3 linked regions of the Drosophila melanogaster genome follow. The protein of the gene in region 2 interacts with the protein of the main gene of each other region in a pairwise test. Each region holds a gene or a part of one and is shown on either strand. Other genes may lie near its edges.

What was found.
Region 1: the proteins of CG14186 (region 2) and CG7675 interact in a two-hybrid assay, tested with the Drosophila melanogaster proteins (one large-scale study listed by BioGRID).
Region 3: the proteins of CG14186 (region 2) and CG13999 interact in a two-hybrid assay, tested with the Drosophila melanogaster proteins (one large-scale study listed by BioGRID).

What each region holds. Positions count from the first base shown.
Region 1 is NT_033777.3:18,375,671-18,383,647, forward strand, and holds CG7675 (uncharacterized protein), read right to left. Parts: upstream 5,509-7,977; 5' UTR 5,362-5,508; intron 5,067-5,361; exon of another isoform or gene 4,949-5,066; intron 4,685-4,948; 5' UTR 4,684-4,684; coding exon 4,543-4,683; intron 3,695-4,542; coding exon 3,556-3,694; intron 3,298-3,555; coding exon 2,567-3,297; 3' UTR 2,454-2,566; downstream 1-2,453. Other genes in the region: CG14309 (uncharacterized protein), read right to left, coding at 6,279-7,977.
Region 2 is NT_037436.4:20,096,955-20,107,662, reverse strand, and holds CG14186 (uncharacterized protein), read left to right. Parts: upstream 1-3,835; 5' UTR 3,836-4,302; coding exon 4,303-5,248; intron 5,249-5,997; coding exon 5,998-6,439; intron 6,440-6,667; coding exon 6,668-7,060; intron 7,061-8,242; coding exon 8,243-8,420; intron 8,421-8,483; coding exon 8,484-8,639; 3' UTR 8,640-9,579; downstream 9,580-10,708. Other genes in the region: CG14185 (uncharacterized protein), read right to left, coding at 267-1,145, 1,213-1,542.
Region 3 is NT_033779.5:5,952,859-5,959,151, forward strand, and holds CG13999 (uncharacterized protein), read right to left. Parts: upstream 3,609-6,293; 5' UTR 3,368-3,608; coding exon 3,234-3,367; intron 3,177-3,233; coding exon 2,923-3,176; intron 2,866-2,922; coding exon 2,756-2,865; 3' UTR 2,454-2,755; downstream 1-2,453. Other genes in the region: CG9044 (uncharacterized protein), read left to right, coding at 131-199, 558-1,619, 1,677-2,143; CG13998 (uncharacterized protein), read right to left, coding at 3,654-3,947; Vm26Ab (vitelline membrane 26Ab), read left to right, coding at 4,208-4,714; Vm26Ac (vitelline membrane 26Aac), read right to left, coding at 5,188-5,733.

The sequences.
Region 1 (7,977 bases), on a different chromosome or scaffold from region 2:
TTAAGAAACGATTCAAAAGTTAAGATTTAATAAGAACAATTGAATTTAAGTGGCTAAAATCTGTGTTTATATCAATCAATCATCGCTTAACAGTCGGTTTTTAAGCCAAATTCTTCTTCAATATAGGATGTGAAAACACTCTTCCTAATTTCTTATCAATTTTTTTATTTACTAGGTTTACTGAGAGGATCCTTTAACTTGTAAATAACACTTCCCCAGTGATATAGACAACTGGCGTGGACTGTATGGTTTCTATGATATGACTTAGTAGGAACTGTAGAGTTTTGGAACTGGAGTGCATGAGACATCTGTGAGTGCAATTGGGCCGACAACCGACGCCCCCGCTCCCGAGGAGAGTATCGATGACCGCGTGACAGGCGCAGCCGTTGCCAGTTGACATTTGCTGGACAGGATGGGGAAGGACGAACCGCTGTCCTGACAGCTGGACGATTCGGCATCGGGATCGGGACTGTCGCATAACCCACTTCTTATTAAAAACCTAAGCCAGCTTATTAAATGCCCGCGACTTATTAAAAACCCAGGGGGAGAAGTAGATACAAGTACGGTCGAAGGACTCCCCCAAGAAAAGGAGACAACTACTTGAATTACAAACTGAACTTGGCCACAACAATGTCTTTTCGTCCTTCTGGATATGAGTACACTTGAGTGAAGCGCGCCAAATTGAATTTGTAAGGCGATACTTTCTGAAAAACAAAAACAAAAGGGGGTTTCGGTACCAGAAGGGTTCATTACCGGTATACTCGTATCTTATCAATAAAGTTGCTATTCTGGGTGACAGATACAAACCAATGCAGCAGTAAAAACGCACTCTTTGTTTGTTTTTTATTGGGGCATCACCTCCGCAAACAAATCCTGTGAAAAGTTCCGATCGATGATCTATTGGTTTCTCACAGTAGCGAATTAAGGGGCGTTTGGTCCTTCAATTATCTGCGGTGCCGCACGCTTCGCTATCTTTAATGCCATTTTGGTGAGCCGCAAATGATTATCCTGTAATCCTTTGGATAAATATTAAATTTCAATTACGCCATTTAACATATTATTAGCCACCGATCGGCACTATCATCATCATTGGGCAAGTCACGTGCCGTCGAGGAGCTGATAGCAATCTACGCAAAAGCGAACAACCGCAACCCTCCGTTTCTGCAGAAACAGGCGTGGTGACAGCCCGCAAAGGATGCGACTGCAATTTTATCAGATTATACATGTCGACGGAGTCCCCCGGGAGTCCTCCCGCCATCCACCCCCTTGGTCCTCCTCAACAGGTGAGCGAGTCCAACGAAACTTTGTGTGAGAATTTTTCGGCCTTTCCCCGATTCTGCTCCCCTCTCCATTTGTATCGGGTTACCTTGCCTCACCCGATTGGCGCTGTGATTTGTCGTTCTCGAGCATTCTCATGAAATTAATTTGAAACGGAGTATCCAGGATGGATATCAGTTGAATTAAAACAATTATTCCAGGATTCAGTTAATTTCTAGACCATACATAAAATTATTATTACATCAGCTTTTAACAGTAACTCCTGTTATAGCTTACAGAGGCTGTTAATTTTTAGGGTGAACCAGGTTTGCTTATTTGTAATTAATATTAAATAAGAAAAAAAGTAATCATGGGCGTGACAAAACGAAAGCAATTCACAAGACCAATAAAAATTGAGGTACTAAGATCTCGACGTTCGGATACGGATGATCCTGATCTAGAATATATCAACTTTATGTTACATATTTTTACAATTTTACTCTACGAGTAACGGGTAAAATGTAACCAGTAGTTGCATAATTCTTTCTGAAATATATGTGTATTAGGAGAGGGATGAATGGACGCTCATTACTTTTAGTAAAATGTCTTATAGAGCAAATTGGTTTATATTTTTTTTTTAACATATCTCAATACCTAGAAGAACTTTTTTAAAGATCATTTGACTAAGAAGCTGCAGCTACAAAATAAATAACGAGAAGCAATAAGTTGAAAAGTTCAAAACTTGTCAGAATTGTCATATCTAGTTACCTAGCAAAAGATTTATCGAGTGACTGTCAATATATATTACATGTAATACAAAAACGGTCCCCTTGCAAATCCAAGCCGAAATCCTGTGCCAATAAGAAGTCGAGTTCCCCGACTAACAGATACCCGTTGCTCAGTTAGTGTGAATGCGCTGTGTCTATGTATCTAGAATCTGTATGCTGCATCACAACCTTCTAGCTTTTAAAGTTCCTGAGATCTCGACATTCAGACGGACAGAGGAACATGGCCAGATCGACTCGGCTATTGATCTTGATCCAGACTATATTCTAGTCTTGATTCTAGTATACCCTTTTACTCACGAGCAACCGATATAACAACCAAGATCTTTGTAATATATTATATATAGTCAGAAATTTGATGTGCTTTTTTTTCTGACAGCAAATATATCATATTGAAAACGAGCCACATTTAATTATACAAAATCATTTTTATTGAGAAAACTTAGGCTACAGTAAACTCCCCCTTAAAAACAAGAAAAGTAAATCAGTAAATTGTGCGTTGGCTCTCAGCCGCAGACACCCGTCTAGATTTTGGGATCCTGGGGCGTAAGCTTGACAATCTTCACGGACTCCTCCCAGATCTTGAGACCCTTCTCCTCATCGAGGGCAGCAGCATTAAGGGTGGCCTCCTTGCAGTCCATGAAGTACTTTCCAGACACATTGGCCACCTCATTGGATGTGGCCAAATAGATAGTGGTCTGGGCGCCGGCCTTGGTGGTCTTGAAGAATCCCTTGGTGATGGCCATCATGGGCAAGTTGAGGGGGAAGGGAACGTTACGCCAAATGCCCGAGTCGATCATGCCGGGATGCAGGAAATTCACTGTAACCTTGGTGCCCTCCAGCCGCTTGGCCAGCTCCCGGGCAAAGTAGATGTTCGCAAACTTGGACACATAGTATAAGTAGGCAGCCGGGAAAGTGCCGATGGGATTGAGCTTGGCCAGGTTAACCGACGACAGGCGGTACAGCTCCGAGGCTACGATGACTATGCGAGCCGGCGCGCTCTTCTTTAGTACATCGATGAGCAGATGCGTCAGCAGGAAGGGTCCATAGTGATTGGTGGCCATGGTCAGCTCCACGCCATCCTCACTCGTCTGTCCGCGGAAGGCCAGAGCCATGCCGGCATTGTGGATAAGCACATCGATCTTGGGCTCGGTCTTCACAATGTCAGCGGCGAACTCACGGACGGACTTCTGGGAGCCCAGATCCAGTTTCTTGACTAGGATCTTGTTGTTCTTCGTCTCCTTGACGATCTCATCTGTGGGAAATCAACAATAAATTACAAAATTCGGTTATGTAAAAAAAAACATGGTTAATGCAACGCCAACATATTATAAGATACTTTCTTTAAAGTAATTACAACGTAAATATTTAATAAAAAAAGATCATTGGTAGTAAGCAGTTTTTGCCAGAGTCTATAATCAACTGGATGAGACCAGTTATCGGAATTTGACCGTGTTGCATGTCCTGCCAGATCCTTGGCATAACCTCATAGGCATTGTCTTGGTCCACTTACCCTTCACTGCATTGGCAGTCTCCAGGTTCCTGCAGGCCATGATGATGCGGGCTCCACGTCCAGCCAGATCCTTGGCCGTCTCCTTGCCAATTCCGCTGTTGGCGCCTGTGATAATGACTGTCTTGCCCTCCATCTTTGTCTGTAATCAATGTCGAAGGTTAATCATTTAATACGGCGCTGCAATCGAAAATTGGACGAGGGCGGTTCGAAAATATGTTTACAATACTAATTAGTTGGCGCTTGTTCACAGTCACAGTAATCGCAGTTCGTCTGGAACGGAAGCTATCTTAGTTTTCAGACCCATTAACGGGTCGCTTAATTGCCATTCGAGTGCTGAGAGCTTTCTGTGAATCAGAGGTAAGCGATCTCACAGATTGTAACCGAGATACCCAGAAGCTTAGATGTTTTGTGGGATACGAACAATGTTCGGTCAGGTGGTAATCGTAGCTCAGAGATGTGACGTACCTCGCCTCTCAGAAGGTATCTAATTTAATCTGTAATTAAGTCGACGCGTCACAACTGACCAATGTAATAACAAGATTGAAACACGTTAAGTTTTCCTAGTGGTGATTTCATATATAGTTAAAAGATTTCCATAGTCGGAATGCTTGGAATGCTACAGAATCGTTTTAATTATATGGGGTTTTTCCAGATAGTGATATATGTAGTTTTCTATAGAGCGGTAAGCTGAACCATTTTCAATTATGGATCTGTAATGTTTATCTGAATAGTTCGCATTTATATGAATATATAAAATTTGTAAAAGTTTTGAGCGATTAATAAGCTTAAGGTCGTGTCCGAATACTGTTTTAGTAAACTATCCCACCATCATTTGTATGTATATGACAGCTCATCTACAAGATCTGAAAAGAATTCGCAGCGGAAGTGGGAGCAACAGCCATATAAAGTGCGAAATATTCGAGTCGTGTCGCGATTCTGGGGAGCATGGGACTTGGTTTTTTGGATTGGGTGAGGTGCGTTCGTTACCTCGGTGAAACATCGTCCCGCCGTGATGCGCAGATAGAACCGAATGCTCATCAGGGTGGCCACTATGGCGGCCACTGAAGTCATGAGGAAGATGTCGCGCACATAGTGCTCGGTCGACAGCCAACCGAAGATGAAACCCATCCTACAAATATGCCGAGGTGTGTATACTATATATTGTATCTTCATATACGTATATATCGGTGTCAACATGCAAATCAGATTATATAATAACCGAAGCTGCCAAAGCCAGACGATTGTCTTAGGGCATAACGAAACGAGTTTGGTTTTGGGTTTTGGGGTTTCATGGTTTTGGGGATATTGGTTAGTCGGCGAAGGTTTTCACAATTCAAATCGTTTATCAGTGACTGTCAATAAATCAATTTCGAAAACTGTTGAGAAAACTTACACTTTCACTTTCACACATGTGCGTAATTATGGCTTATTATGATGAAACGCCGAAAAAAATAACATTCAACCAAGTTCATTGACAGCCCAAACGAAAGAAGGTTGAACAAGAAAGAAAGTCTGAAGTTTCATGTCGTTTTGAGTTTCTGGTTTTTTCTTCTCTGTTTGTTTTTTTTTTCCCCCACCGTCCACGTCACAAAGATTTCCAAGAGCTTTCCTCAAGACTCGAAGACTGGCTCTGGTTACGCTTGCATGCACCATTTAAGAACCCCCCCAACCGAACCACGCCCTACAATGCAGTCTCGAAAAGAAACAAGATCTATAGATGTATGAAAAAGTCTAGAAGTGACCCGTTTTTGGGTTTTGTTCCTCAACTTTTGCCAGTCGGAGACGAGTTTTTTAGTGCAAACTCACCTGTTTTGGCTGTTGGCTGATCTATAATTTATTCCAACTTCTGCTGACCTGCACTTTGGACTATATCTGCGCTGCGAAATGGAATTGGTGGATCCAAGAGCTAGTGCCACAACCTTCGCCTTGAACGACTAATCGGAGACTGAAGTCGGAATTCCGATTATAAAGCCGAGGCTGCGGAGAATGCGCGATCGTCTCCACCGGTTTGGTATTGCCGTGGTCGCGGTGATTTTGTTATTGCACTTATAGCCATGGTAACAGGTTAGCCAAGCGGCTTTCCGGGCTCCTCTTTGGGATCGTCTTCATGAACGGTTCACTCGCAGCGAAAGAGCGAGCACAGAGTGGAGCCAAACTATAATACATAGTTACCAGCGGTAAGAGAAAGATCTGGGTAGTGGATTCCAAGAAAGTGTGTCTAGAAAGCCACCTGTCGGGGGCTTCGCAAAGCTTCTTTTCTAGTTATGCAGCTCGAATGATGAGCTTGAAATAATGTAGAAAATAATAATGGATAGTAATTAACTTTTTTAATGACCAAGACTTTATTACTATTTGAAGTACTACGGGTAATTGTATAAACATGTCAGATAAAAATCTATTTTATTTTTCATTTCATATATCATTAACCGAGATACCACTGAAATATATCAACATTCTTTTCAATTCAATGCATTTTATTATAGAGATGACATATTCACAAGTACAATAAAGAATGCTCAACAATCTACCACAAGCTTAGTCTAAGCCCGTCTAGTTCGTTGCCTTAGTCCTGTATATAGCTTTATTTGAAAAATATAATTCCCTTAGAATTATCGCTCAAATATAATTCCTTTGAATGCAGTAATGTTTGAAAATAAATATATATTTACATTCGGTTATAATGCTGGCAGTTTAAACAAGGTCATATGGTAATATAAGTCATTCTACTTCTCAATGCTGTTTTGTCGGCGGGGTGGTTGGGTTTCCGCATCCGTTTCCAAGTGCTTGGTTAAGGTGTTGTACCATTCGTTCATATGGTTGGATATGATGTTGATGAAGCGAGATACCTTTGATTTCATAGTGCTCACGAGGCTTTCGGAGAGTTTAGTCAGACTACGACCAGAGGCCAGCGAATTCTTGCTGCTGATCCTCATGATCTTGGATTCCTTTTCCTCCCTGGGCTGGCTGGCATCCTTCTCTGCCTCGTGATCCATCTTGTACTCGTAGTAGGTGTACCTTCCCAGCGGCATCATCTCATCGCGATCTGCCTTGTCTATGGCATTGGAGGGCAGTTCAGCCAGGGAATTAGTGTTAAGTACGGCACGCCGCCTTCTCATAGCTGGTAAATCCCACCAGGAAGTGATACCCTCATCGGCTGGCTTTTGAGGCAATTTCGAATGAAGAGTAGGCGTTGCCTTCTTTCCCTCAAAATGATCCTGTATGAGGGACTTCCTACCGACATTCGCCGACTCCAGGGAACTTTCCCGCATGCCCTCATCTCCTAGAGAAAACTCGTGTTCATGCTCGTTGATGTGGCTGAGGAAATGCTTTCCAAGCTCTTTTTGGGCCTGCAAAAAGTCGTTGGCCACGTGACCTAGCCTGGAGTGACGCCTTCTAGCACTTGGCACCGGTTGCACATCCTCCTCGGGCTCGGACTCTTCAACAGACTTGGGTTTTTGGGACAGACTAGCCTTGGCCATGGTGGCCTTGCTGGAGAAGGGTTCCGGAAATAGCAGTGAGTTCAAGGTGGCTCCCAGATTTAATCGCTTGTTCTGCTTGGGAGCTGGTAGGGCCTCAAAGAATTCCGTGGGCAGTAGACGCAACTTGGGACGCCCTTCTGTTTGCTCCGGTTCCTGCTCCTGTTCATCCTCTTTGTCCTCCCTTTGAATGATCTTTAGCTGACTCTTGGACTTGGTCCTGCGCTTTTTGGGTACCTCCCGCTCAAGTTCCTCTTCGTTTTCCACCTCCCCATCCACAGTCTCAATGTGCTTCAGGTGGACATCACCCTCTGGAAGCCGTGTGTAAGTGGGTATTTCCTCGGATTTCTCTCCAATGCGCTTGAAGAACTTCTCCTCATCGAATTCATCGAAGTCGAAAAGGGGCTTATTCTTCTTTTCCGGCTTCCGGATCTCAGTAATCTTCTTCGTCAATGCTGTCTTCTTACCCTGGCGATTGTAGAAGAAGGGCCCGGAATAGCTGGATGTGTCGCGTCTCTCCCGCTTTTTGCCCATGTCACGGGTGTGCTCGAGCACTTGATACAGCCAGGCCAGAGCTTTATGAGGCTTAATAGCCTGTTCTTTGGACTTGTTCACTTCATCACCCACATCCCTCTTCAGCGGACCGTCATCCTTGAAATGGTCCAGTAGTCGATCTAGTAGGGTCTGTGACGTTTCCTCCTTATCAACGACAAATCTCCGATTGCGATTAATAGAACTCTGAACCGAGCCTCGGGCAACTGCAGTTTCCTCGATCAATCGTTGGAGTAACCGATCGGCGGAACTATAGCGGAATGATCGGCGCTTCTCCTTGGAGGACTCCCCACTCGAATCGCCTGCCTCGATCTCCGTGAACTGGCAGTGTTCCAGATTGACATCGGGCAGCACCCAGAAACTCACCGCCATGCTGGGCGTGATCAGTTGCAGT
Region 2 (10,708 bases):
CGCTTCCACCTGTTACATACTTAAGTAAATATTATAGCTTTGACTTCATTAATTAAGAAACAATCACAATAGTAAATGGATTAATAAAACAAATACCAGAGCTCTCATGAAGTAATTGTGTGTATTTATTCAACAAGCTCTCAAGCTTGTTAATTTTGATTTTTTGTTTGTTTCTGGTATAACCAGTTCAGTCAGGATTTAGAATCCTGATTCATATGGTCAATAATATTATTGTGTATAAAATATTAACTTTTTTGCAGTGTGGTCTAGTCCAGCGTTGACTGTGTGCTGAAGACATAATGGGACGATGATTGGACGTCGAGGCTGCTGTTGGAGGAGCAGGAGCTCATTGATGGCGCCCGCGTGGATCGGGCAGAGGAGGCGGAAGACGATCCGCTGGAGGAGGAGGAACTGACCCAGGCGTGGCCACTGCGCCTTCGCCGCTGGCGCACCAGGCTCAAAACCGATCCGGCCACTGGAGTGGAGCCAGAGCTGGCCGACACTTGGCGCCGGATGGCAGCATTCAAGGCGATAGGAACGGGTTCCGGAGCAGGCGCCGTGTTCGGCCGTTGTGCAGTCGTCTCGGAGCCAGACTCCAGATCACTTGATGCCGGGGATGTGGCCTCCTCCATCTCCACCGGAGCAGGTTCACCGTTCAACACCCGTCCATCCAACAGTTGCAACGTGGGCACACTGCGCGCCAGGAGCGAGCGGTAGAGCGGTAAACGACACACGGGATTGCCCTGCAACTCCACCTCCTGCAGCTGCGGGCACATTCCCAAGAAGGAGAGCAGGCCCAGCTCACTGATCCGGTTGTTCCTTGCCTTGAGAACGCGCAGGTGGACCAGTTCGGCCAGCGGATCAACCCGCTGGATCATGTTTCCATCGGCGATGAGCACACGGATGGCCGGCAGTCCACTGGTGCCGTCGAAGCTATTCAGGCCGCAGTTGCTGATGTCCAACCGGGTTAGCTGGAGGAGTCCATAGCCCAGGTCGCGCAGGGAGCTCAGCACACTGCCACTCAGGTCGAGGGATTGGAGGCGCGGCAGGAAGAGCGACAGGCGGGACAGGCTGACTGTGTAAGAGATCACGCGCAGACGCACTTGCTCCACCGCCTCCAGATCCGTGCGTTGCGTCACTCGGCGCTAAGCAAACAATATTTTAATACCACTTCATCACTTTTAATTCGTCACAAGGTTAACGTGCACCCACCAGTAGCTCGTCCAGTGTCGGTTCCGGGCCCTGTTGGGGTAGCACCACGGGCAGCAGGTGGACGAAGGCCGGAAGGTGCTGTTCCTCCTCGGCAATGGCCACATCCCGATCGAAGGAGTTCCGGCGACCCAGTTGGCGGCGGTTGAACTGCATCCGCTGCTGCTGCTGCTGTGCGGGATTCTGCTGATTGAGCCGCACCTCGGGCGGAGGCATCCGGACCTGGGCCAAGGCGGCCGGTCCTGGCGGTGCCAGAAGGATGGGCAGTTCCGCCTGAAGCGATTGATCCGGAGAGGACTCCAGGTAGTCCGCAGGTGCCTCCAGCAGTGGCATTATTAATATTTCTTAGTGCAACACCTACATATGTCTTCAGTGTTCTGCTGTATTTTGTCTGTCCATATTGACCTAACAACCCAAGCGTATCCACTGGCAACGCTACTTGGTGGCATTGTCACTTTCCATTTTTGTTGTTCATTAGATCACTATTTAACGCTTACCGGCTGAATATTATAAACTATAATAATTTTCATTAATGAGAGCAAGACATTATTCTGTTCACATAACAAGCAATCAAACAAGTCTTTATCTTTTTAATTAGCTAGTTTATATTGTTAACTTATAGTCAACATGTTTATGGTCCTAAGAAGTATGCAATAAACTTCCACCATTTTACCTTACTAATAGATCATTGAATGTACATATGTAATAATTCTGTCACATAATTTGTGTGCCCCATTTTTATTAAAAACCATTTTGGTTAAATTTAATTGTTTACTAGAAGACTTACAATTCAATAACGTCTAGCTTTAATCAATGGACCTTAAATATTCTTTGTGCATGTACTGTGTGAATAAACTTCTTATTTGGCCACGCTATTTCAGTATAAATTTAACGAAAGGACTTAGTTTTATATCGATCTGCCATTTTGCAGCATTCCGTCGCCCTCATTCATTCCGCCGCAACAGCGTTTTCTTTTTGGCAATACGCCCACTGACGTCAGTGTGACGTCATGGTCGTGACGTTCGCACTCAAACTCTTTACCACCGAGGTTTTTTACATTCCTCTTTCTGTCAAACTCGCTCGCTCTCTCTCTCTCTTCCAGGATGTCTGTCTGGCTTGGGAGAGCGGTGAGAGTTTCGCGGTTATTTCTGTTCAGAGGCGAATGAACAGGATAACAATTAATTATCAGTTCTAGACATTTATGTGTAAAATAGTCACAAAATTTAATAACGCAAAATATTGATTTTCAATCATTTTGTTTTCTGCATATTATGTTATATGGATATATATTCTGGATCCGCCCGCATCACAGACTTTTGCCATTTCAAGGGCCTTTAGCTAACGCCAACGCCATAAGGATTCTTTGTCTGTCCCGCTCTCTCTCTCCCTCTCTCCCTCTCTGTTTTCTCAGTTTTACTATAATCCAATTTTCCTGACGCCTGTCAAGCTTTTGCCGGCTTTTGTCAATTTATTTTGGTAAGAGGGAGGTGGTTGGCTCCTAAGGGAGGCACTGTTGTTGTTTTGGTTTTGGATTGAGCTTTTTCCATTGACGTCATCAGAGGCGAAAGCTGCGCAGTGAGCTGACATCGTACCACGCATTTATCGATTGCACAGAGGAGAAAGTGCGAAAGAGAGAGGTAGAACGAGAGAAAGAGAGATGGAGAAAGTGATGGTGATTGTGGTGGAGTGAGAAGAGACGCGTGGGCGAAATCGGTTTTTGCAGAATATGACGTAGTAGAAGGGGAAAAAGACAGGCAAAATAGGAATTTAAAAATGTATAAAATTCCATTTACTAATTATTTCCATACATTGTCTTAAAATCCCGCCCAATAAACAGCAAAGTTTCTCACAGTGAAGCACAGCTGCTTTTTAAGTGTGAGTTCAGGTGTTGTCAATAAAATCCCATCATCAGCTCGCACATTTTTATAGATGCCTAAAAATAGAATTTGTCAATAATACCAACAAACCCAAGCACAAGCAACACACATAGACAGACACACACTATTACACAAATGGCTGCAATGTGTGGGTGCACAGGCACGCACTGTTGACGTCATTGTCCTTAAAGCTCTAGCGCTCTCTCTCTCTCTCGAACGGTTACTACGCTACAGCTACATTGAAACGTGTTCGCTCTCAATGGCGTTCCGAAAATACCGTTCGCTTCTCATTGACGTCTACGTTGACGTCGGCGTGGGCGTCACTGTTACAGTTAACAGTGCGCCAGGATTAACATAGGTTGGAGACTGCGCTTAAGCATTTGACACTGCCGGTCAAAAGTCGAATATGTAAAATTTTAGATATTAATGTTTTGAAGGGCGAGGAAATTCGTAGACATCAAATGTTAAGAACCAAAATCGATTTAATTTTAAACGTGTCTGGAAGATTGTTATATCGAGCCTGTCAACCGGTATTTAAAGCAAAACAATGAATGTTGTATAGTATTTACAAATTTTTATCATGTGCTTAAACCGTGGTGTATTGTATGCTTTATCGACGTAAGTTGAGAAAGTAACAGTATATTTTGTCCCCGTTAACAGAGGCAGAGCAGTCGGCGTCAGAGGGTAATGTTGGCTTTAAAGTTGGGAGAGCTGCGTCTATTTAAGCCCCTCGCAATGACAAATTCGTTGTTATTGCAGAACAGAGTCTCGAACGCGGTGCTTTGGTTTCGGTTCCGTTCGCCTCGTGAATATTTTTTTAAGGAATATAAGAACAATGCACGGATAACGCAGTAATCGAGTAAAAATCGAACGCAGTACCGTAACAAAGAGATTGATCTATCCGATAAGTGATCAGTTATTCGGTCGCCAATGATATCCGTATGTGCAGAGTGCGCTGAAGTGGAGCCTTGAGGAAATGCCACCAGCTCGCAGCTGAGCTGCATTCGCTGATTGTCGTTGTGGTCGTGTCCTCTCGCGGTTGTGTGTGTGTGTGTGTGGGTGTGCACTGTGTTATTTGGGTCAAAAGCTGCAGCAGCACAAAGTTCCCACTCCCATTCCCGTTTCCGTGCCCGTTCCCAGGGGGTGTCCACCTGTTATGCAGCTGGCCTAGTGGCTCAACTCGGCTCGGATCGGATCTAGCATCCCACAAGTCCAAATGGAGGCAAAGGTGCACCGCCAGCATCAACGGCATCGTCGCACGGAGGCGCGACAGCGGCGCCTGGAACGGGAGGCGGTGGCTACGGGAGCGGCAGCTCCAACGCCCACCACGCCCGAGCGGGCAGAGGCCTTGGACTGTGCCACAGCCCTCAACGAGGGCGTGGTATCCGCGGATCCGGGCGGCAGCGGCGGTACGCCAAGCAGTGCGGGTCGCATCAGTGCCCAGAGCTCGGCGGACAGCATAGAGCTGGTGGGTTCGCCCAGCCAGACGTCGCAGCAAACGGTGGTGCTGGTCAACGGCCACGCCCCGCCGGGCCAGGAGGAGGGGGAGGAGGAGTCGCCACTGGGCGCAGGCAATACCAGGGACTCACCGCCGCCGCCCAAGCAGAGCGATGGCAGTCGCAACTCATCCGGCGATGCGATGAGTCTGCGGGAGACCCTGCAGCAACTACCGGCCACCCATCACCATCGGTCCAGGCGAACTCACTCACCTGCTGATCCCGATGCGTCCTTTCATCGCGGAATACTTGGGTACATGGACCGGGAGCTCAAGCAGAGCTCTCCCACGCCCTCCGCCCCCGCCGGAACCGGAAACGGAACTGGAAACGGAACTAGCACGGGCGCATCGAGAAAACAGCAGTCCCTCTCCGACCCACAGGCCAGTCCCGCCCAGCGATCCCTGCGTTCGAGGAGCAGCTTCGACAAGAGTCCGCGGCGCAAAAGGAGCAAGTCGGAGTCTCGGCGGAGACGCGAACGGAAGCTAATAGCCGCCGGAGAGATGGAGGTCCGGCAGGCCAACGAAACCCTGATGCGGTACCTCAAGCAGTGCTCCGACATGCACGACGCCTCGCTTTCCGGCGAACTCGAGATCGACCAGAGCCTCGAGGAGAGACGCGTCCACCGGAAGACCAAGTCGCAAAGGGACAAGCGGGGCCAGCTAATCTGTGAGTATATTTTGACTTTTCGCACTTCAGCCATCTCTAATAACTTACTTAATGTAAGAAATTAAACAAGTTATTTGATGATGATGATAGATTAACATGAATTAGTTTGTGTTTTGCGACCAAAAATGTATAAAAATATGAATTCATGTTCGTATTGCGCTTGGGGTTTCATTGAAAATACTAATGATGTTAATATACTGGCTTATTTAAAGCAATACAAGTTAAATGCTAGTTTTGAAACTCTTCAGGTGAATTAATATTTAAATTGATATATTTTTGCTTGCGCTTGAATTTAGTTTGTTTAAAAGTAATTGGGAATTCAAAATAGTACCCAATCCCAACGATAAGTTCCGCAAAACGACCTGACTGATATTTTTTGGGTAGACCCTGTGTCACCCACTTCCGGATCTCAGTTTCCATTCAGTAAAACCATTTGCAGCAAAAGCTCCACCCATCCACCCATCCACCCATCCACCCATCCACCTGCACATCCACCCACCACTTTCTCGATTCTGCGCACTGGCTCGTTTGATACCATGATACCATGCCGTCTTAGACGAGCTTGTTTGATTATTCTTTAAATAAACTAAGTAAAACTTGATACACCGATTATTTCACAAACAATTACAATTTATTTGATTCATTTTCTGTTTATAACAAACTTATAACAAATGGTTCTCATAAGAAGCTGAGAATGGAAAAACAAAGTAACAAACAATAGCCGAATGGAATCCCTCTTTCTCCCACAGCCAAGTTGTACTCAGCAGGCGGTATATCCTCGATTCTGAAGGAGCTGGCCGATGACATAGCTCCGGCCGATGGCGAGGAGATCTACAACCCATTCACGCCGGTCGTCTCGCCCACGGACGATGCGCCCGCGCACATCGACAAGATGTTCCTGCAGACGTCATCCGGATATCGACCCGTGGAGCACAGCTACTACAAGCGCTCCTTCCTGGGGGCGGCTGTTCGTGGATCCGCCGGAATTTCGGCATCCGGCGGCGGAGGTGGATGTGCAGGCGGTGGCGGAGGTCGCCTCGATGGCATCTCGGCCGCGGAGCTTGGAGGCGCCGGTCGCCTCTTCCGCTCCAGCGGCAGCCACGCCCACGGCGGCGACAGAATGGGCGGAAATGGAAGTGGGCGTGGCAGCTACGGTGATACCCGCTGTTTGCTGGATGCCGACTTTAATCGGTGAGTTGCGGAAAATAGAAATGATACCTCAGACGTCAGTTATGCATATGAAACTGTCCAAATCTAAGGTTATCACAAAACTTTTCCTAATATTCTGCTGAAAATACTCATTTAAATTATTTGTTTTTAACTATTTGAGAATTTAAATATATTTAAACATTCGCACAATAGTGTAGTGTAGATGCCAGTGATGTCACTCTAATCCAGCAATTTATTTAATTTTACTAGCAATGGTATCACCAGCAACATACAACTAGCCTGTGTAGTTCAACGAATCTGGCTGCTCATCTCGAACATATGCCACGGCTTGCTAGCCGGTCTAGCTCTGGCCCATCTACTCTTCGTGCTGAGCAGCCACCCCATGGACTGGGCCAAGGTTATCAATGGCATGAGTCTTGCGGGCGAGACGGTGTCATCAACGGCCCAACCCCCAGCCGCATCGACACCATCGGCGATAGACATCGATTCCGGCGATCGGGGAACGGAGTCGGGCGAATCCTCATCCCCATCCGCAGCAGCATCCGGACTGGCCCTGATAAGTGACTACGCCGGATTTGCGGAGATCTACTTAAATACCTTCTACTGCTTGGCCATAATCTGTCTGGTTTCCGTTTTCGATCGGTGAGTTTGGGTGTAATGGATTGGATCTTGGTGAAAAATAAGAAATGAATTCTATAAAGCATAAGTATAGATTACACACCTTTAAGCTAGCTTAGCTCTTTAGGCGATGGATTTTACAATTTTCTAGTCACTTAGTCAATTTCAATTGCGTCCTTTGGGCTTTCGATGTCCTTTGACTTGATTAAAAGCCAATTTGGCCTACCACGCAACCTTCGTCAACGAGCGGCTAAAAATAGGTGGCCAAGAAGGGAATGCTCAGTGGCAGCGATGGAGTTTCGCCACCAGAACTCATTGACCTCAGTTGGCGAAGGATTCGCTGAGAGTTTCATTGAGCTGGAAGTCAGCTGAAGGAAGTGGGTAGTTAGCCCTCGCACCTCCGGTTCTACATACTTCCTTCATTTTTCTTTGTCTAGACACGAGGATATCGTTCCACACTGATAGATAATAGTGTGCGTGGAACTGATGGTGTGGTGGTGGCGATGGTGTGACCTCAATTTGGGTACTTGTTCGGCTTCGTGCTCTCATAGAAATACAAATTTGCGGCGCTCGCATTGCGTGGCCGCTTTCATCAGCCACAAAATATTTTAATGCCCTTAAACTTTGCTCTTTTTGCATGCCAAAGTCGCTGCCCACACACAAGCAAACCACCCTGGCTGCACTCTTGACCTTTAAAGGCTGCGCCAGTCGATGGCACAAGTGTGTGGGTGGTTTTGAATGGCTTGGGTGGTCGGGTGGTTGAGTGGTTGGGTTTTAGGTGGTCCAAAGGAACTGTCTGACGTTGTTTGCCCATTCGAATTGTGCCATTTTCGGCTGCCTGGATGGAAGTGTGAAACTGTGTATGACATTTCGCTTCGTTATCCCAGCGCCATTTGATTTATGCGCTGCTGTGGCTGGGCTAAATGTTAAGTATCTCCAGGCAGTGGAAGTGGAGTCTGTGTCCTGACCTTTGCCCCTCTGACAAACGGAGTGCTACTGTTAAATGTCAGGTCATGCAGGAATCTGTAGGAAGTGCACACCATACGCAGCTGAACTTTCAGGCAATATCCATGATTTTGTTCATGAATAAGTTATTTCCAGTGTGCGTATCTAAGAGCGCCCACTTGATATGGTAATAGCCTAGAGGAAAATAAAATAGATTTTTTTAGTTATTGACTAAAAATCTTTCAAATTTCAAATTTGTAGGATGGACATCTGTCGCTGGAGCTTCTCGAATGCCAGCGAACTGATCTCGTTTCGGTGGCTCATCATCACCATGATCTATGTGGCGACAATAATCCTAGCCATCTGCTCCGATTCCATCGACGAGAAGCTGTACCTGTTCAACAACAATGCCAACATAACGCTGACGCAACAGGAGATGGTAAGTGCAAGGATCGTGGTGATAAGTCTGAGTTCCATATTCAATTTACTCCATTTCGAGCAGCTGAGCAACAGTGTGCAGAGCGTGTGGAGCAGCCTGTCGGTGACGAGGAGCATTGCCGCCATATCCGGGTGGATTATGATCGGACTGACGCCGCAGGAGGATATGCTATATGAGCACCTGGTGGACCTCACCAAATATCAGTTGACAAATAATTGAATTTAAGGCGACAAGTGTAAATATCGAACTCTTAGCAGCTGTTGTTCAGTTATCGGCTTTTTATATGTACGGCATAATCGAAACGCAATAGAACTCTTATGCATACCCAAATCTTAAGCTTTAAAGTCGTCTCTTAAGGATTCACACTGATGCCCTTCGCTGGCCGCTAGAACAAACCCAAGGGGGAACCGATAATATGACAACCAGAGAACTCAATGGTTAACCTTGAAACTAGTTAACTAAGCAAATATAGTGAATACTCGTACTGTTAAAGAGGAAAGAATATGAAATACCTATATTTACCAGATAGCAGATAGATGTATTCATGTACTTACGCATATATACAATATGTTACCTACATAGATATACACATAATTGATATACATTACAAACGCGAGTATAGAAATATTTACAATTATTGAAATCATTTTACTCACACATATCGTCTTAAGATACAGAATCTTTTGGTTTTTTTTAAATCGTTGCGGCACTTTTACGGCAAAGGCTTCCCAAATTAGATCCTCAGTCGATTAGGATCGCCTAGATTAAGTATAATTTTAGCGAATGTGTTTTGTACAATATTTGCATCCCGCAAACGTAGAAGTGTATATTAGTTATTTACATTGTTCAATTCAAGTTTTAGGTAATGCCTCTTGGTTACATTCTTGATTTTGCAGTTAGTAAAACATTTGTTACACCTTCTTTCCTTTAGATGCGTTTACGTGGCAGTTTAAGCTTCTACCTGAGCTGTATATAAACCGAGTGCAATAAAATAACGAATATTAAAGTTTAATTATACACTAACCAATATACAGAGGCAAATGTAATAAAAACATATAGACAAACGAATCGATCAAAGCGGATGACAAGGAAATCTCATTGTAAACTTGTATATAAAAAATATAAACGCAAATAAACAAAAATAATGTATAAAGGCAAGAAAGAATACTTGAGTTTTTTTTTAAAGGTTGGGCGAAGTTTAATTATCCTTTTTTCATAACTTTTATTTTTATGATCAACATTGCCATGTGGGTACTCCCACTATATTAATTTTTTCAAAGGATTTTTAGGGTCAATTCAACTATGCAAACGAGATGCATAAGTGGGCGCGTTTGATCTTATTTTTTCAGAATGCAAACTTTCTTTTTGAGTGGAAGATAAGTATTTAAACGAATCATGAAATCTCACATCGTATCATCACATCATTGAAAACTCGATAAGAATTCCTCAATTTATTACAGTAGAACAGCGATTCAGATTCCTAAGTGACATATGCAGAACGTATGAAAATAAAATAAATAGTAAATAGATCAGTGAAATCAAATCAAAAAAATTGACAATTTGTGAGAGGAACGAATAGATTTATATAGAATTATTCCAACTCACTCAACCGACTCAAGCATTGACAGGAAATTGGAATATAATCCCACAAAGTTTCCTGAAATCCTGCAAATTCAACATTTGGCCAACTTATCGCTAATATTTGGTAAACGTAAAATAAATCATAATTATACATGATGTAATGTAGGATGTCAATGGTTGTGAAACAAGCTTAATGATATTGTTATCTGCTAGATGGCGCCATCAAATGAATGTAGAATGTAAGCTATTATATCTTGTGTCGTGTATAGGCACTTAATTTCATAAAACCAACAATTTATTTATGGACAGATAATCGGAGAAGGTGTATATTTTGAATTTAGCTACGAATGGTCTTAAAATGGTACTTCAATTTGATACCAAGATATTTTTATATCCGCTACCAATTAGCCAATTGTTTTATTAATTGTAAATGCAAGTTAAGATAATGAAAGCGAAATTGTTTATCCACTCAATTGTTAGGAAAATTTTGTACACATGAGATTTTTGTACAAAAAAGATTCGAATCTTTACTCTCTCGCCAAGAGAAGCAAATAAAATATTTAATGGGTCGCTAAATGACTTCAAAGCGAAAACAAAGCTGTTAAAATGAGCGCAACCCATTTGAGCCACGTCAATTCGCAGGACGCACCCTTTCAAAATTCCAAATTTAAATGTTTCACTTCATTTAAAATATTCTTTGTTGCTGC
Region 3 (6,293 bases), on a different chromosome or scaffold from region 2:
AACACAAATCGAAAATGGCAAAACCAATCTAACTTTTGTATATTTACATTGTTCTTTTGGACTTTTTCTCTCACCCAACTACCGACAACAATAACATTGTTGTGATGTAAAAACTTAATTAATACTTTAGTGGCCAACTGCAGGCTAACAACTGCAAAAATCACACCCAAGCTTAGGAGTTTGACGCAAGCCACCAAAAGTTAATATGCCAATTTGTATACTTTTTATTTCACTTAACAATTTGCGTTTCGCTTTTGTTCCATAATGTGAAGCAGCATTTGGACGTGAAGCAAAGATAAGCTAACCTACTAATAGTTCTTGGACGACGACGTCGTTTACAAGTCTTATAAAATTTTATTGCACGTCTTGAGCCTTGGTACCCAAAATTATGTATTATCTGAAACAAAATTTAGCTGTTTATAAGACCTGTAGATACCGACAAATATATCAAAATTTAAGCAATAGCTAAAGCTTTATTAATCTTAGAGAGCAATGCTGCTTCCATTAATAAACAATTAAGTTAATTAGAGCACCAGACTAATATTTCAACATTATAGGTTCCGCCAATTCGCTAAATGGAAGCAGCTCTTGCTCAAAAATTACCAACTCACAGAGCTCTTTCGACTCCAATCAATCCGTAGTGGGCAGCTCGAACACGGATCGGGATATGGAGTTTCGAGCCAACGAAAGTGATGTGGACATCATCTCCAATCCGAGCCAGTCCAGCATAGAGGTACTAGATCCGAACTACGTGCAGAGCGCCAGTCGCAAGACCTCAGAAGAGCGCCGCATATCCCAGCTACCTCATCTGGAGACGATACACGATGAAGTAGCGAAATCGAAGAGCTTCATCGAACGCGAGTTTGGTCAGCTTCTGGCGGAGCAGGCTCAGCCTACGACACCTTCGACTGCAGCTCCCTTGGCTCCTGCAAAATCGGCTGTCCCATCCCATGTACCGCTGACAGAGAGCAGCTCGTCGGGATCCGTAACGGACAGCATATGTACTACCTACGAGCAGCAGGCCACTGATGCGCCACAAAATCTACAAAATTCCCTGCTCACCGAGTCGTCAAACAGCCAAGTTAGTGGTTCGGATGCGGAATCTAATAGCCGTTTGAAAAGCGCCGAGGATGCCAGCCTGCTGCCTTTCGCATCTGTATTTCAATCAACCAATCTGCTCATGTCCAGCTCAAAGAAGTTGATCGAGTCGGAGGCAACTGTTTTTGGTACCCAGCCGTACAAGTTTAACTACAGCGACTTTAATGATATCGATCACCGTCTGAAGCTCTACTTCTACCAACGAAAGTTCAAAGAGGATGGCGAGCATTTCAAGTGGTTGGCCAAAGGTCGCATCTACAATGAGCAGACCCAATCCTTGGGAGAAGGGCTTGTGGTAATGTCCAACTGCAAGTGCTATCTAATGGAGGCCTTTGCAGAACCCCATGACGATGTGGCCAAATGGCTGAGGCAGGTCGTCAGCGTGGCAGTCAATCGTTTGGTGGCCATTGATCTGTTGCCCTGGAAACTTGGCTTGTCCTTCACCTTAAAGGATTGGGGAGGATTTGTCCTGCTGTTGCATGACATGCTGAGGACGGAAAGTTTACTGAATTATTTACAACGTGAGTTAACTTTTTGCATGTTGCTTTTTTCCTAATACTTATTATATTTTTTAACAGAAATTCCTCTGCCTGAGCAGTGCAAGCTGAATCATCAACCATCTGTCACACTCAGCCATCAGTGGGAAACTATTGCGTCCGAACCAGTCAAGATGTGCTCCCTGATTCCCAGCTGCCAATGGATCTGTGACCAGGAGAAGAGCTCCTTTGAACCCTCCCTGCTCCTAATCACGGAGACACATTTGTACATCTCAGGAAATGGCAAATTCTCGTGGCTGTCAGATAAAGTTCAGGAAAAGCCCATTCAACCAGAACTTAGCCTTAATCAACCACTGAGCAATTTGGTCGACGTGGAGCGCATTACAGACCAAAAGTATGCGATCAACTTTATTGATGAGACGCAAAACAGGTGCGAGATATGGAAGTTGCAGTTCGAAACGCATGCCAATGCCGCATGTTGCCTGAATGTCATCGGAAAGGGATGGGAGCAGCTATTTGGAGTGCCATTCAGTCTCTCTGGAACGTGAGGAGCGAATTACACTAGAAAATTGAATATAGCCTGTACCAATTATTGTGCAAAGTTTAAAATTGTTGATCTTAATTGACTATGTTATTTAATGTCAGATTAGTTTTATTAACTTAGGCTAGAGCTTTCAATCAATAAGAAATGGTGCTGTACCACGATTTAAATGTAAATATTTATAAATATAGAGGTTATTATTTTTTGAAGTCCTTGCAATATATTCATATATTACAGAATTAAATCGTCTAAATTGTTTTATTTGTTGTTAGATGAATTATAGTTGGTATCAGTAAGTTGATATTACATATTTGCTTCTATTTACACATGAATAATATTATTGGAAACAAAAGAACTACAATATTGTCAAGGAATTTTGTTTGCTAATTAAATAATATTCACACGTGAGTTATAAATGTTATATGCATTTAAACTCGGTCGGATTTATTTTCGACTTATCTGTTAGTGCTATCTACTTGATAATTTCGGCATAGAGGTTTTTCATTTCTGTTTTAAATCGGATGTCTTTATAAACTATTATCTATTTCTATTAATTATCTATATACAGTACACTTCTTATGCTGACTCACTCATCGAAGAGTCCACTTAACCAGGTGTCTTACTTATCGCCCAGCTGATCTGCGATCCAGTCAAGATGCTCCTCCTTGAAGCGAGGATCTGCCATGGTCAGAGCCGTCGACTTGGAGCTGTAGTAATAGAAAACCGACACTGCGGGAAAGAGGAAGATATTAGGATAAGTGTGGAATGAATATTTCCGGAACTCACTGATGCGCTGTGCCACTGATAGGGCAATCAGACCCAGTGGCCAATGATGACCGTCCTCTTCTGGCGGCTGACGGTATTGGTAGATGATCCAAAAGTGCTGGGAGGCGGACAGAAGGAAGTAGATGGTAATGCTGGCCATGAAGAGCTTGCAATTCCGCAGGATTATGTGCGAGGCGCCGACCTGGTACACACACGTCGAGTGCAGGGCGAGGGTGAACAGCAGGTACTCCGCGATAATCAGGGCATCCTGAGTGCTGTGGTAACGTGCTGTGTTCAGAAAGGATATCTTCTCCATTCCCTAAGATACTCACACAAAGAGAATTATGGCTGTCTGCAATCGGTTTCTGGCCAGCGAAGGACCAAAGGCGTTGCAAAAGAGGTCCACTCCCAAAAGGGCGAACTGGAACAGGAGCACCCAGGAGTAGCGTCGCAGTGTTAGCTTCATGGCGGTGTCCAAATGTCAAGCGCTTGTTTTCGGTCAATTTGTTGCGTGCTGACTGTGCGGGGGTTTGTTGTGTCCTTCGTCCTGGTGACGTCAAAGCTACCACTGCGGTCATGCGCTGTGGATTTGTACTATCCCCTTATCGATAGACAGATTTCCATGGAGAACTGGTGAAACTTTGAAAACGTGTGGAAGGCATTGGCGGGAACAGAAATGGGTACGTATTTTTAAAGACCAGGTTACAAATTGGAGTCAGAAAACTATATATTATTCTGGGTTGCTTTTATTATCAGACATATCGAGCATATTCAAAAGGGTACTGCTGCCGTTTTCCCGATCGGAAGGTGTCCATTCTGCCAGCCTGTCGCCGGAATCTCCTGTAGTACTGCTGGTTCATCTCGGAGTAGAAGTTTGTGGGCAGTAGGTGAGACCAACTGTGGTCGCCTTCACCATTGTGGCGGTCCAGAAACTGGAACATCGATGCGGAAGTGACTTCGGCAGCCCCTGTGCGCCAGAATGGCCAGGTTGGATTTAAGGTCACCAGAGCCAAGACCAGAAACCAGAACGTCATCGTCTTAGCCATTTGTGAAGAGAGCTGTTTGGCCAAAACCCGGCACCCAATACCCTCCTCCAAAGTCGACTGCCGGTTGCAGGTGGTCAGCAGATTTCGAGCCGGGGTGCTTCCATTTGCATTTTTTTCGGAACGCTGTCGTTCTACTCCGTCAGTGCGATCAGCGTTTTCCGAGTGGGCTATAAAGTGGATTGGCTGGGAGGCTACAATCAACAGTCAGCCTTCGTTCGTCACTTCAGCAGCAAGTAGAGACAGCTCAAGAACCATCCGCAATGGCATTCAACTTTGGTCACCTCCTCATCGCCGGCCTCGTGGCCTTGTCCGCCGTGTCCTCGGAGACCATCCAGCTGCAGCCCACTCAGGGCATCCTCATCCCCGCCCCGCTGGCCGAGAACATCCGTGTGTCGCGTGCCGCCTACGGAGGATACGGCGCTGCCCCAGCCGCCCCATCGTACTCCGCCCCAGCCGCTCCCGCTGCCCAGGCCTACTCTGCTCCCGCTGCCCCAGCCTACTCCGCACCCGCTGCTCCCGCCTACTCCGCACCCGCTGCTCCTGCCTACTCTGCTCCCGCTGCCCCAGCTTACTCTGCCCCAGCCGCACCAGCTTACTCCGCACCCGCCTCCATTCCGTCGCCGCCGTGCCCCAAGAACTACCTGTTCAGCTGCCAGCCCTCCCTGCAGCCCGTGCCCTGCTCCGCCCCAGCTCAGTCCTACGGATCCGCCGGTGCCTACTCCCAGTACGTGCCCCAGTACGCCGTGCCCTTCGTCCGCGAACTTTAAGGATCGAAACGAATCTGACTTGACATCTGAACCTAAGAATAAAGTAATGCTTTCATAAAAAACATTTAAGATATTTTATTGAAGGGGTATCAAGGGTTTTATTGCTTTTCTACAAGCTATTAAAAAAGTTTCAGCTCTCTGAAATAAATATAATTATTACCGATATGATGCAACAAATTTAAGGTTTTGTGTTTTACTAGTACACCTTTTTTTAAAAAGAACAAATTCGTATATGCAAAACGAGTAATGGGCTGTAAGCAATTTTGAAATTCTAGAACACTTTAGATATATCTTGTTATTTATCGTCTTAGCAATGATTAAAGCGGCACAAAAAGTTGCTCCCAATTTTGGTCTAAAACTAATCCTGTTTATATATTTAATAGTGCCAAACAGAAGTCTTAAATAAATAATAAATATTAAAAAGATTAAAATATTGTTTAAAATTTTCACTTTATTAAAAATCAGCTAGTTCATCAATATGAGCTGTACCCACATGGAACCGGCTTGATAACCGCTTCGCAGGAGAACACATAGTTCTTTGGGCAAGCTGGAGAAGGAACTTCACTGAGTGTGGTTTGTTGTTGGTATGTTCCCTGAACCGGTACCTGGGCCTCATCCTGGTCGTAGCTGCGAGCGAAGCCAAATTTGCCACGTCCAAAACCAGGACCTCCGAAGCCGGGACCTCCGAAACCGGGACCTCCAAAGCCGGGACGTCCAAAGCCAGGGCCTCCGAAGCCCGGACCTCCGAAGCCAGGACCTCCAAAACCAGGTCCTCCAAAACCAGGTCCACCAAACCCGGGACCACCAAAGTTGTTCTCCACGATTACCTCCTGTACGATTTGCTGTTGCCTCCTCCTACGGTTCAGATACGCATCCGAGGGCTCGACAGCTGATGATCTCGATGGCAGGCTCCTTAAGCACCCTGTACTTCCTCCACAGGTCGAGGCTTCCAAACCAGCCTGCTGACCCAGAGAACTCGCTCCGGCCAAAAGGGCAAAGAATCCGAGATACTTCCACATGCTGACTTGATATGGTGGCGTTGCAAGCTGAGAAAGCCGAGATGCGGCGTTGTTCAAGTGGCTTTTATAACCTCATGCCACCAGAAGTGCACAACGAAGCGGAAACGGAGATGGCCAAGGTAACACCCAACAAGTGGGTCACTTGGTCGCACATTCCAGAGGGCGAGTGGGATCAGAATTGGGGCGAAGTTGGAAGTTCGAGAAAATGGGCCATTGGCTAGAAGGGGTTAATCCGCTGGGAGGGCCCAAGTCACTACTTGGCTGGGCTCGGAAACCCTACGAGCACCTGAAACCCGAAGGTCAGCACATTGTAGCCACTGCTGCTTTCCGGCTTGTAGGCTGACCGACCAGTCAAGCGATTGATGATGGGATCCGATATCGCATTACCCAATCGCTTGCACTTTTCACTTTTCAATTTTCCGCTTTGTCGCTGATTCGGATGTGTCGCAAGCATTTCTTCTAGCTAAAATATACATTTATGTACAATTTAATAACTATTTTGTTTGGTACCAGCATTTCCTGCAGTTCAGTGACCCACAACGAGCTGCTTGGCACAAAGG